Linked DNA regions of Drosophila melanogaster. The protein of the gene in region 1 interacts with the protein of each later gene in a pairwise test. Each region holds a gene or a part of one and is shown in the gene's direction. Other genes may lie near its edges.

Evidence for each region.
Region 2: the proteins of CG13708 (region 1) and CG8924 interact in a two-hybrid assay, tested with the Drosophila melanogaster proteins (one large-scale study listed by BioGRID).

Annotation. Positions count from the first base shown.
Region 1 is NT_037436.4:4,828,308-4,835,537, reverse strand, and holds CG13708 (uncharacterized protein), read left to right. Parts: upstream 1-1,946; 5' UTR 1,947-1,966; intron 1,967-2,032; 5' UTR 2,033-2,463; coding exon 2,464-3,283; intron 3,284-3,360; coding exon 3,361-6,446; downstream 6,447-7,230. Other genes in the region: LeuRS-m (Leucyl-tRNA synthetase, mitochondrial), read right to left, coding at 6,810-7,230.
Region 2 is NC_004354.4:15,939,138-15,945,236, forward strand, and holds CG8924 (uncharacterized protein), read left to right. Parts: upstream 1-1,939; 5' UTR 1,940-2,495; intron 2,496-3,234; 5' UTR 3,235-3,314; coding exon 3,315-4,153; intron 4,154-4,212; coding exon 4,213-4,918; 3' UTR 4,919-5,312; downstream 5,313-6,099. Other genes in the region: Rrp47 (ribosomal RNA processing 47), read left to right, coding at 5,919-6,099.

The DNA of each region.
Region 1 (7,230 bases):
GGCAAAGCGCGGCTCATAAATGCCAGCGCACGCACACTCTTCGATTTTTGTTGCTGCCGTCGCCGACTGGCATCAATTAAATTCGAATTGTTGCAGTGTCTTCGATTGAGATGCCCGTCTCTTTCGCACTCGCCTGGCGCACAGCGGGCAATTTGCCAGGCGACGAATATCCCTCTTTGTGTCTCGCTCTTTTGCTCCTTAATTGCTTAGGTGTGTGTGCACTTGGAAAAATAAATTCTTGTCACAGTTACTTAAATGGAAATTAAGGAAAATATATATGTACTTAGTAATATATCAATAAATAAAATCTTAATTTCTGTTAAAACGTATGCAACTTGGAACGTGCATTTCCAAATAATTGATTTTCTTTTCTAGTGCATCCCAGTATGCCCATTTTCCATCAGTGCACCTTTCATCGTCTTTCTCCGTCTCGCCTGCGGTTGGCGCTTAACTTTTGCATATTTCGCAACAACATTACGGCCAGAACAACGAGTGCGGCTCAGCAGGCACGTGAATCCATTACGATGGCAGGCAATTATGTGCGTGTTCCACCCGCTCCGACCCACTGTATCTGCCCCACTGTCGTTGCTTGATAGTTGGGGCCATACGCAAATCAAAACAGTTTCCATCAGCAACAACAAAGCCAACCAGCCAGCCAGCCAGCCAGCCAGCCGGCCGCAGCAATAACAACAACAAGAGCTATGAAAAGCCACGAAATGGGTTTTTAATGCAAACGACTTTCCCTCCAATTGCACACGGCCAAGGTGAATGCTGAGGGCGCTAGCCGAGAAAAACCGACAAAAGTGTGGCCCAGACCACGAAAGGAAATTTCCTGGGCTGTGCGAAAATCTTTTGGGCCAGAGCTTTAAACGAGTTTTCTGAAAAAGGATAAGCGCACCTTATATGCAGCTTTAATAATAACAAATTTTTTGGTTAAATCGATTTAAATAAATTGATCGATCGATCGGAGTATCAAGTAATATTAAGTTCTTAAAGGAATAATATTCGGAGCATTTTATAAGGTCCAAGTATGTACAATGGATTGAAACGTATTCAAGTCTTTTGTTGTTCTTTAATTGACCTGAAATACAGAACAACAAATTCCTGTCCCATAAAATAAGCTGCATTTAGCGGATAATCATGTAAGTTATGGGTTCCGATTGGGAATCCCCATGGACTCCTTCGTGTGCGGTGTACCGCCATTTTGCCAAGAAATCCAATGTTTTGGTATGTTTAGAAGCGCAAGTCGTGGCAGCAACAAGCCGAATGGGCGTGCAAGTTGTCTGGCCGCCTGTCGCTCCACCTTTCCGACTGTCAGTCAGTTGGCCAGGTGGGTCGACAGTCGGCCTAGCCTAGCTTGGCCTGGCCTGGCCTGACTGGGCTGTTTTGGGCCTCGGTGAATTGGCCCAAAAGAGCTTTAAATAAACAAACTAATAACGCAAATCACGCGGGTGCGAGTGGGATGGCAAGCGAGCGGAATAGGGACAGCAACTGTCTTCCAAATGCACCGCATATAAGTGTTCTATGGCAACCGCGCCAGGCCAAAATCGAGAATGTATAACCCGAATAAACAAACTAATAAAATGGGCCCACATGCCCGAGCCAGCGAGTCCACGAATCCTGGCTCAGAGCTGCCACGGAGGCGACCAACAACACTCGAGGAGCACACAAATACCATACCTTTTATCTATATATCTATATATCTATACCCTCTGTACCGCAGAAGACTGAATACACCAATCGACAAAAGAAATCACCAAAAATCAACGAGAACTGAAGGGAAAAGCAGCTCAAGTGGAGCAGTCGCTCCCAATTCCATTCGAGGCACTCCCACTGTATCTATTTGTGTGTCCCCAAAAGGAACCAAACTAATCCATAATCCGTCGACCAGAGAGCTGAATGCAATTGCAAATTAGATAACCAGGACTGGGTTTTCGTCATTTCTGGGATTTACACATAGAACTGGGTGAGCAAATTTCAATTACTGCAAGGCAGTTGTAATTAAATAGCCTTTTTTCGGTTTTAAATTCAGCCCATTGGATTATACATATGAGGTTTGTTCTCTTGTAATTCTGTGAGAATGCAGACAATTTGGTATTTAATCATGAAATTCTTTTATGATTTAAATTCAATTTAAATTTATCATCTATCGAAGGATTACTATTTATTTACTTTATTGCCTGCTTATATATGTATATCTCTATAGGGATTGCAGATTATGCAACGAAAATAGTGTAATCTGCGCAAGGACCATCACAAATCCCCGTAACTATGTCCGGAGCTCTCCAGGAGTCGCTTGCCCGCATCGAACTATTATGAAACTCGAAGGTGGAAGGTGCCACACGCACGGCAACGGGCCAGGGGCAGGGCCAGGTGCCAGTCCAGGTGCAAGGCCAGGAGCCACCAAGGACAAAGCCAGCGACATCGGCGGCAACTCATGCCAGGCGCCGCCAGCTGATCTCCATGGCCAAATGCCGCGGTCGCTCCATACTCAACGATGAAACGCCCACGCCGGAAGCAGCCTGCCCTGCTCCCGGTCCTGCACCTGCTGCGACTCCGGCTGCAGCGAATCCCTTGCCGCACCCACAACAACAACAACTGCAACAACAACAGAACTACTTACCTCAAACATCTTTGCTGAAAATCGAACCGTTCGTTCCTAGTTTTAATCAAAGACTACGCCGGCGTCCTATTGGTCGCTCCCATAGCACCTTAAGCCACAACGTCATCTCCAAGCGACCAGTGCCGCAGCAGCATCAGCAGCAGCAAATCCAACAGCCATCGGAACTCCAAGTTGGCCAGCAGCAACAGTTGAAGCGAGGCTATGCCGCCGCAGCTCAAATCCGCCAACAGCAGCAGCAACAGCAACGGAATCTACCACGTGGCGTTGGCATCCAGCGACAGCGTTCCAAGTCCACATCCTCCTCGGCGGCCTCCAATAGCTGTCGCCCAGCCACAGCGGCTGTAACGCCCAATACCCTGGTAGGCAGCACCGGCGGAACTCTGGTTAGTGGAGCCATCGTTACGCCGCAACCAAATGGCATCTGTCGGATCCAGAGATTGCCCAAGGAGCGCGAGGAGCTGCCCGATCGAATTAACTATGACAAGAGAGGACTCACTGCGATTCCCATCTTTGAGCAGGAGCCCAATCTTCGACTGCTGTCGCTGCAGCACAACCTGATCAACACTTTTCACATACCCAAGGAGGTGACACCGCCGCCTCCACCAGTGCCTCCTCCTGCTGTCGCCACGCCACGGGAGAGTAACAATAATAAGCTGGGTGGTTTGTATCCTAGAAATTTAGAATTTAAAGAATAGCGCTTAGATCTCCAATTGATTCTTCTTCTTTTGCTCCTCTAGAATATAGCAACGGCAATGGAAACAAGGAGGGAGGACGCTCTGGCCTGCGTGGCCATCATCCAGGCAGACTTACCCGTGCCATGACCAATGCAGGTGGCAATTCCCATCGCCTATCGCCCAAGTCCGGCGGTAGTCCGGGCTCAGGCAGTCCACTGACAACTCAGGCATTGGCCATCAATGGAGGAACAGCCGCAGGGCGCTCCAAGTTGGCCAAGCGAGGCTACAACTACGGACAGGCACAATTGACGCCTCCACCGGCGTTACGCATGCGCTACGGATTGGAAAAATCCAAGAGCTTCGTGAGCAGCAGCCTCCAGGCAATGAAGCATCAGCAACAGCTCATCCAACGAAGGGCAATGCTCAAGGCAACCAGAGCCGGAGGAGTGGTCGCACCGGGTGGAGCCGCCAGCAATCTCCTCCAGAGCTGCGATGAGGGCAGTGCCCTGCACAATAGCAATCTCTCTCTGTACGGTGGGTGTGGTGAAGAGGAGGAGTCTCCCAGTGTGATGACCAGCATTTCTGCTTTAGAGCAGCTGAGCATCAAGAACAAGCAGTTGAGCTTAAGTGCCAGTTATGGGAGCATCTTTCAGCAGCTGGTATTTCTGGATCTCTATGATAACCAGATCGAGAGAATAGCGAACCTGGATGGACTACCTTCGCTTTCGGTGCTACTGCTGGGCAAGAACAGGATTACGGACATTGGTGGTCTGTCCTCGTTGAAGGATACACTAAGAGTGTTGGATCTGCATGGTAATAAACTCACCAGTCTGGGCAGTCGCATCAACTGCCTGCAGCAACTGAAATCATTGAATCTGGCGGGAAATCAAATTCGTCAGATAAATCAGCAGGATTTTCTTGGCCTGCGCTGCCTTAGGGAGTTGAACCTCAAGCGGAACAAGCTCCGGCGGATCAATGGATTCCAGCACCTGGTGGCTCTGGAAAGGCTTTGGTTATGTCACAACGATCTGCACAGAGTTGATGATATGGCCAGTATAGCCAGGGCCACCCGCCTCCTGGAAGTTACAATCGAGAACAATCCCGTCTCTCTCGCCGGCGATTGCGTATCCTTCTTGGTTTCGTACCTTCCACTGCTGCAAACCCTTAGTCAGATGCCCATCACGGAGCAGGTGCGTCGGGCGGCTCTTGCTTGGCGCCAGCACAAGGAACAGGCTCAAGCTGCTCCTGGAAGCTCCGAGGCTTACCACAACATCCGGCGTGAAGAGGTTATATCCAATGCCAGGACCAACTGGGAACTTCTGCGTTCCCAACAGACAGTGGTGGGTCGTCCCAAGAGCCGCCTTACCAGCGAGCTAGCCAAGATCAATGAGTCCAACGAAGGTCCGGCAGGTGAGGAGGGGGAAATGGAATCCGAGGAGTCGCAGCAGCCCAAGGAACTGATGGATGAACTCCAGGCACTGATTAAACTGCCGCCTATTGCGAAGGATCTAAGGAATCCACACGAAGAGGATGGCGCCTCCTCTGAGGCCTCTAGTCTAGGACCCAATGTTGACTCCTGCTCCAGTTGTTATAGCTCGGACAATGAGGACGGCGGCGCTAAAAATAAACCACAGACTCCGCAGATTGATGAAAACTCAAACAAGGTGGGCTTGACGGAAAAGCCACCATCATCGCCAGTTACAGTTGCAAGCCAATCTCCTGAAGTAGCCATAGTGACACCGTCAGCACCGGTGTCATCCTCACCTTCGCCGCCTGCACTGACCTTGACTCCACCAGCTGCCCCAGGCACTCCAGTGCCCGGCACCACGTCGCCTTCACCATCAACAACCATAATTTCCACCTTGCCTGTGCCCGCCACTGCATCCTCCAATGCAAGTCGTCCGACCAGCAGCAAACAGCGTTCCCGTCATGCACCCATCACACAATTGGGATTACAGATTAACCAGAGAGGAGGAGCAGCTGCTTCCTCCAAGCGGTACATGGCTGGTAGTCTGGTGCGTGCGCAAACCGTGAGCAGCAGCACCAGTAACAGCAGCAGTTCCAATAGTGCGGGTCGAGGAAAGGCCACCAACAATGGATTAAACTTGGTGGCGACTCAAACGAAAGCGGCAACGAGTGGTAACAACCAATCATCAGCAGGAGCGGCAGCTGGAACAGGAGGCTCCACAACAGCAGCGCCACCTGCAGGAGCAGCTGCAACTCCAAACGCAGCCATAACAGTGTCCAAGCCCAGCGCCGCTGAACGGGAGAGAGAACAAGGTGGCGATTACCTGATTGAAATATGCGGAAGGTACCTTAACATCTACGGCCAGGGAGCTCTCCGTTTCATCGATAAGCAGTGGAATCCGGCCAAGGCCAATGACGTGCACACGCTGAACTTCAGTTACATTAACTTCAACAGCATCGTATGTGTTCTGGGCAGGATTAAGCTGCGATTCCCTCACGCCGAGCACTACGTTTTCCGGGAAACAAACATCTCCTGTTTGGGTCAGCTTAATGGATTGGCGGAGCTCCAGGGGCTCAGCAGCTTGATGATCGATGCCGAGGGTAATGGCATTACGCTCAAGGAAACCTGGCGAGCATACGCCATCTACAGGCTATCACACTGGGGACTGAAGCAGCTAAATGGTCAGGAGGTAACCGAAGCGGAAGTGGAGGCTGCGAATGCCATGTACGTTGGACTCTCTGACCTGGTTCTGTGGTCCATGCCCGAGGTAATGCTGCAACCGCTTTTGGCGAGACTGCGTCTGGATGAAACCTGCACGGCCAGCAAACTGTCTCCTAAAGAGTGGCTCCTACGGCCGGACAACAAGTCCCTGCGACTCGTGGTGGGAAAAGAGGCACTCCAGTGGAAGAAGAACGCTGGTGGTGGAGCAGGAACTTCCACCTCAATGAATATAAATCAAGGGACGGAAGCGGGAAGCACTGCCATGGCGCCCAGTGTCCGAGATCGAGGTCGCCAGCACTTTGCCCTTCTGCTGGAGAACACTTGCAACGCCGTGGAGAAGCTGCATAAACTGGAAACTCTTTGGCCAAGTATGCTTCTTGATATCGTCCGAAATACGCTGCTGGATTACGCCCAGCTAGATGTCTACCTGCGGAATCTCATGTGCGAGCTGTTGAAGTGAGAGGCCGTTCCAACAAATGAAAATTTATGAAATTATTAGTCGATCTGGCTTTTAGATAGAGGCGCACAGGTAGAGCAACCATTATATTCCTATGATTCTAGGCATTTACCAATCCTGTAAAGCAGCTGCTTACAACTAGTCCAATTTTTATAAATATTTAACATTAAACATGATTAAAAAGTACCAATCTAGGATGGCGCCTTTCTGGCCAACACCGGAAATGCATTTGGGCAGGTTGAACCCACTCTCCTCCGTAATCCGTTCGGCTTAAGAACTATGATCGCAAGAATATCCTAAAAAGTAGCAACCAAACTTTTACTACTCAACTTTATCTATCCACTTTCACGATACTTTTTCCTTATCCTACGCCTGAGGCTGAGCTTCTGCATCATCGGTGGTCGGCGGCTTTTGCTTCATTTTCGCCTTATCCACATAGATATTCAGAATAGCCTCGATTCCCGGGTAAAGCACAAAATTGGTGGTGCGAATTTTCTTGTCAATTAGGTACGATGTCACCGATTCGGTGTTGAAGGCAATGTCGAGAGCATCACTGTGCGTTACCTTATCCAGATGCGTTCTCTGCACTTTGATTACACAGTTCTCAAATCCATTGACTTTAATGCTAAGGTCCAGATTGTAGGCGGGGTCGATGTCTGGCCAGCGCTGAGCAAGCACATCTTCGCTCCACTGTAACTCCTGACTGGCGGGATTTAGCCTGCCTGGTATCGCCACAAACTTTGACCACAGTTCGGAGGCAAAGTGCGGAGCCATTGGCGCGAGCATG
Region 2 (6,099 bases), on another chromosome or scaffold:
ATCGCATATGTCTCCTTTAAATCGGTAAATCGGCTCGGTTTCTTATAAGTTTACAAATCAAATTTGTTGCTCGCGAAAGTCATAGTTTTCAACTGATGATATCCTGCAATGATATATGAAACAGAGATGTCAGAAATGTGGCAGATCTAGATCTCAACTTAAAAACTTAGTAATATGGGGCTGAGTAATACGCAAAGAGTAAGCTTTTTTTGCCCTGTAAAGTATATATATGTATTTCTAATCAGCATGCAGTTTCGGGAGTAATTATGGTATATTTCAGGGATCCTCTTAACAAGTTAACAAGCTTTTTATTGTTATATTGCAATCTTTGTCAATGGATCTTTACATCTGGAACCTTTTCTCTCGACTTTATAACGCATATTCCATATTCTATTAAATTCCATAGTGACCGAAGCGTATAGTACGTAAAGAAAATTGATTAAATAATCAAGCAAATCCAACTGTGTGCGAAAGTATTATTGCATTGGCCAATAAATAAAGATTTACTGGGCACAGACTTACGAGGCTTTTATTTGTCAATGAGATTCAGTTTTAGGGGTCTTTAAAGATAACCGCCTGAGCGCAAATTTACTGAGAAATGCAAATATTAGGGAAACGGCATGAGTAATAAAATGGTTGAGTTTTCGGTTCGCCAACATAAAATTAATTTTTGGGCAGTTATTTTAGATTTGGATTTGCGTTTTTGTTAACTAGTGTAAGTTTAGCTGCGGATGCTGTAGCAAAACATTTTCGACACCTAACTAGACTTATACTATCATTCTGATCTATTATATTATACCAATGTGCGTTTTACATCTGTGTAGTTACAATACATTTGGGATAGTTTTTGATCTCCAATTTGAAACAAATAAATGCGTAAAATACAATGAATTCCTACAGATATCGTTGCAAAGACAGCACATAACGGTACATTTAGATGGCAGCAGTAAATGGATTCAAAATCATATGCAAACCTTACTGTGTAACTGTTTTCTTCATTTTTTTACAATATTTTTTAATATTAGACATTGATACTATATACGAATGTAGATATGTAAGTTGTGGAAGGCATCAGCATTTGTTTACTTCTAAAAACGCAGAAAACTGGGAATTTCAACAATGTCTGGTTGGATCCGGCTGCGTTATGACTGCACAATTTACAATGTCAAAGCCAAGCACTTAATAACCACACATATGCGGATGCCCAATGGTAAACTTCCATAAGTTTTTTTTAGACCTCAAATAAAAATAAAAGCACTCACCCTAAAATTCCCGAGTCAGTTTGGGTTGAACGGTGTGACCAGTCGACTGAAAGCGAAAAATGTACACTTCAAATTTTAAGCTGCAAACACTTGTCATGTAAGAGCTATTGTATATTTTGCCGAATAGGTTAAAGTTTTTGTATGCAACATAATATATTAGCAAAAGGACAATAGAAGAAATATATGCAACGTATAATAGTGATACATACATTGTAAAGTATCCGTTAATACACTGTTTCCACTTTTTAGGGCATTTCGATAATTACCGATAATTCTTCAAAAATATCCTGTAACGGCCTTACCTCAAATATTGATTTGTATTTTCTATTCTATTATTTAATATTTATCCTGTTAGCTTATGGTTGGCTTTTTCACATTTAAAGATCGATATGCTTGCGTTCGGCAATTTTCGCTTAGTGGATATAAAAGCGGAACGACTGGAATTTTTTCGCATATGAAACCTGTTATCCCACCGATCCCTATCTATATTTTAATATTTCAATATAAATAGTTTTGTTTCCGCGATAATTCAGCTAAAAAAAATTTTATCGATTGCATGCATTAAGTAACTGAAAAATTAACAACAAACTTTAATATAAAAAAAGCCCGGTACATGAGAATCATTTACTCAGAAACGCGTTTATGAAACGCTTGCAATTCCCAGCAATTATGCCTAACGCGTAGTTTAAATAACAATTGATTGCTACAGAAGCAGACAGCGCGAAAGACAATATTAAGTTTATAATTTAAATATAGCTTGAAGGCAGAGTTAAAAAAGGCAGATACTCAGCGCATAACGTGCAAATCGATTTGGCACTTTAATTTGCCGTTTATTTGTTTATAGTCTGTCAAAACAAACAGTTGTACATAAAAAAAGGAAATATAATCGCGCGCATGCAGCATTTCTGGTTAAAATAAACATTAATAAAGCAACGAATTGAATGGGACTCACGGACAACGATGAGGGATTGTAAATAGAGACATTGGTTAATGCCTGAAATGTACATATTTTTTTGTGTTGTGCACGATTTGATGCAAGAATAGTGTGTATTTTTAAACAAGACTCCGGCGCTGATACATTCATACATAGCTCACGCGCACAGGACATACAGTCCTAACATAAAATTCTCGTTCGTTTTCACGCCATCGCATCTATTGTGTTACATAGCGCCCAAAAAACGAGAAGTAAAGAACTATAATCAGCGAAGTTTCGGTTCCTTGGCAAACAAACAGGTATGTATTCAGATTCGCAGGGATGCGTACATGTATATAACGCGTACATTCAACTGTTTACATCCTTATTACTAAATATAGAAGTAATTCCAATTGTGCAAATCGCTAGTGGAGGTGTACATATGTATTTATGCAAGCGTGCGTATGTATGTGGGTACATAAAACATGGCAAGTGAAAATTCGCATGGTCTTCTCCTCAGTTTCACACTGAGGACATTATTTATTTGGACGATTATCAAATGTAAATAAGCATATACCTCTGCACCTGTATGTACGCTCGTGTGTTTGTATGTATGTATGTATATACAGTGGTCAACTGCTAAAAAGAAAGCAAATAAAAACTTAGGAATAACGTAACTGTCATGCAAAAACAATACAAAAAAGTGGAAAAGGGACAATGCTATTTTTAAACTCATATATTTGGCTAAAATATTCTTTCTTTTAATCCATTATTAAATGAAATGCAAATATTAATGCAATGCAAAAAAAAGAAGTATCTTTTTTTTTCATATATCAAAAATCAAACAAAAGGAGTTCATATAATATATATACTTAATATGCAATACAATATTTTTAAGGGAAACCTACTAGAATTATGATGTCACGAGAAAGATTCGGTCAAATTACTTGATCCTTATTCTTAGTTCATTCAAGAGAGTCGAATTTATGATATATTCGAATTATTGTCTATTGACGATAGTTATAATTTATCCTGGAATTTACCAACACTCTATTGCAGGATATACAAGGATCTTTAAATGAGCGATAGCTTCGTAAACTCAGGAGCACAGTAAAGGCGCGAACTATATTTTGAGTACGATGAGCGGCGCTACACAGGAATTTTGTGTACGCTGGAACAGCCATTTGGGCAGCATTGGAGCTGCTTTTCCGCAGCTGCTAGCAGGCCAGAGATTCGTGGATGTAACACTCGCATGCGAAGGCCAACAGGTGCACTGCCATCGTCTGGTGTTGGCCGCTTGTTCCACCTACTTTGAGGCAATACTAGCGGAGCATCCTTGCAAGCACCCGGTCATCATATTGCCCAGGGAGATCAAGCTATGGGAGATCCAGGCGCTTGTGGACTTCATGTACAAGGGAGAGGTCAATGTCACGCAAGCCGGTCTTGGCCAGTTGCTTCGCTGTGCCGAACAACTGCAGATTCGCGGTCTATACGGCTCTGAGGCACCGATAAACTACAAGAAACTCCAGCAGGCGAGTCTCGAGGCTGCTAAGGATCCAGCTGCAACCACAGCGCGAAGCTTCAAGCATGTGGACAGCGCGGAAACGGACGATGCAGCCACTAATTCAACCACCTCAACAACAATGACCACCTCCTCCGCTCCACCGCTACCGGTTAACCATCAGCAACCCACAGTATTGAAGCGCCAGAATCCCGATGCTCGGCAGCAGCAGCAACAGCAGCAGCAGCAGCAGGTGCAGCAGCGACCCCAGATAAATGGCAGTAATGCTCAACAGCCATCTAAGGCCACCTCTACGAACGTTTTGGGCAGCCACTCGAATGCACCAACCGAGGATGACTCCGGCGACGAGGTGCCGAACAATTGGAATGCCTACGGGGAGCAATTCGATGATTGCAATATATCTGCGCAAGCCGTTGACAACAAAATGAATGTCCACCTATCCCTGCAGCAGGCGAGGTTTGTTTTTGCATTAATATGACAAGTATCTCTGGATAAATATATATATCTTTTCACAGGATGCAAATGCAGCTTCAGCAGCAGCAATACTTGGATTCAAATGTTGAGGACGACCACAACTATGTGGCCGCTCATGATGAAAACAATGACAGCAGTTTTGCGACAGGAGTGCCATGCGGATCCGGGCTATCCCTCAGCCTTGACACTGATCTCGATACATCGGCCAATACTTCCGGAGGACTGAGCCATAGCTCGATCGATGGTTATACTTCATATAAGCGCGTTCGACGTTCAGAAGCATCTCTAGCACAAGCGGCCAAATGTGTTTCGAAGGGCGAGACATTCCAAACTGTCAGCAATATGTTCAATATTCCTGTCTCAACCATTCGTTTCTATATGGCGCGAAAAGGAATTCTTCCGAAGCGGAAACGTGGACGTGGTGCTTCCCATGCCGGAAACATAATAATCACAACAAACTCAGGAAAACTCTCAACCGTCCCAGCGAGCATAACTCATCCCCCAGCCCATCCGCATATCCACACCAATCCCCTTCCTCACACGCAGTCTCAGCAAATGTCCATGGACAGCCTACATCTCAAGGCGGGCATCGCAAATACCAGTGGCAGCAATAGTCCGGCAACTGCAACGGCAACGTCTATGTCACCATCATTTGATATGGCCACAACAGGTGATATTGTGCCTTTTCACCTCCATAGCGATGCGGCGGCATTCAAACTCAACGATCAGAAGCTGCACATGATCTAACCACGCAATTTGCCAAGTTGTGCTGTACTAGTAGGGCGTGTATTAATAGAGAGGGATTTCCAAGCAGTAGCTGCTTTCTTTCATTTCGGGGTACGCATCGGCTCGTGTGGGATCTTTAGTCATAACATAGTCAACAAAATACAATTTATACATAGGTTTACTTAATTACGCTTTGGAGATGCCACAGTTTTATCCTTGGTTGAAAAACTCTTGCCGTTCAATCATTATTCATTTTACTTTGGCAATCATAAGAAATTACAGTAGATGTATGCTATCAACAAGGATTATGACTAAAAACTTGCGTAAAAATTTCAATTATGTTTCTTGTCGCCCCAGTACTTTAAGGAATTACTGTATTGTTAATAAGATAAATAAAATCGACCTGGAAACTTTTACTGGGTATTCGTGTGATTGCAAAGATAAGATGAAAATTTATAATAAACTCGAAGGTCGTAAAAGACATAATCATAATGCTAACAGCTTAAACTAAATAATAATGTAAAGTAATTATTATTGGTCAAATACATCCGATCTATTTTAAAACCATGTACTTTTCCTACAAGAATACGCAAATCTTCAATACTTGCTTACAATTACTCGGTTTGTTTGTTTGCTTATTTTTTTTGGTCATTATAACAATTGGCCATAAATGCAAGAATCCCAATAATAAATTACGTTGTGAAAGTATTATTAAATACATAAGTACTGTGTACGAGATGATTGGGCAATAAAAGTTTAAATGCATTCAAAGTAACAACAATTTTTTTTTTGCTAAATTTATTATTTGAAATTTGTACTGTTACTGTCAATCATTTTTTTTTTATATTTGTACATATGTATGTAGATTAGCACAGTGCAGGCGCAGAATGTTGAAGTGGAAACGGCGCTTTTTGAATACTTCTCATAGAATCTATTTCTTTTCATGTTCAATCAACGGTCACACTGTAAGCCTAAGCCAGATATAAACATTCGCACGCGATTTTAATTCCATTTAAAGAACATGGCTCAAGAAAATCAAGCTGTCGACAATGGACTGCCCTGCAACGCTTACCTGGACACAAGCCTGCGAGAGGACGAAAACATGCAACACATCCTGAAAACCTTTTACAGCAGCATCGAACTCCTGGAAGCCGACACGGAGAAGGCACTGGCGCTACAGGCAGAACGCACATTGAACACAA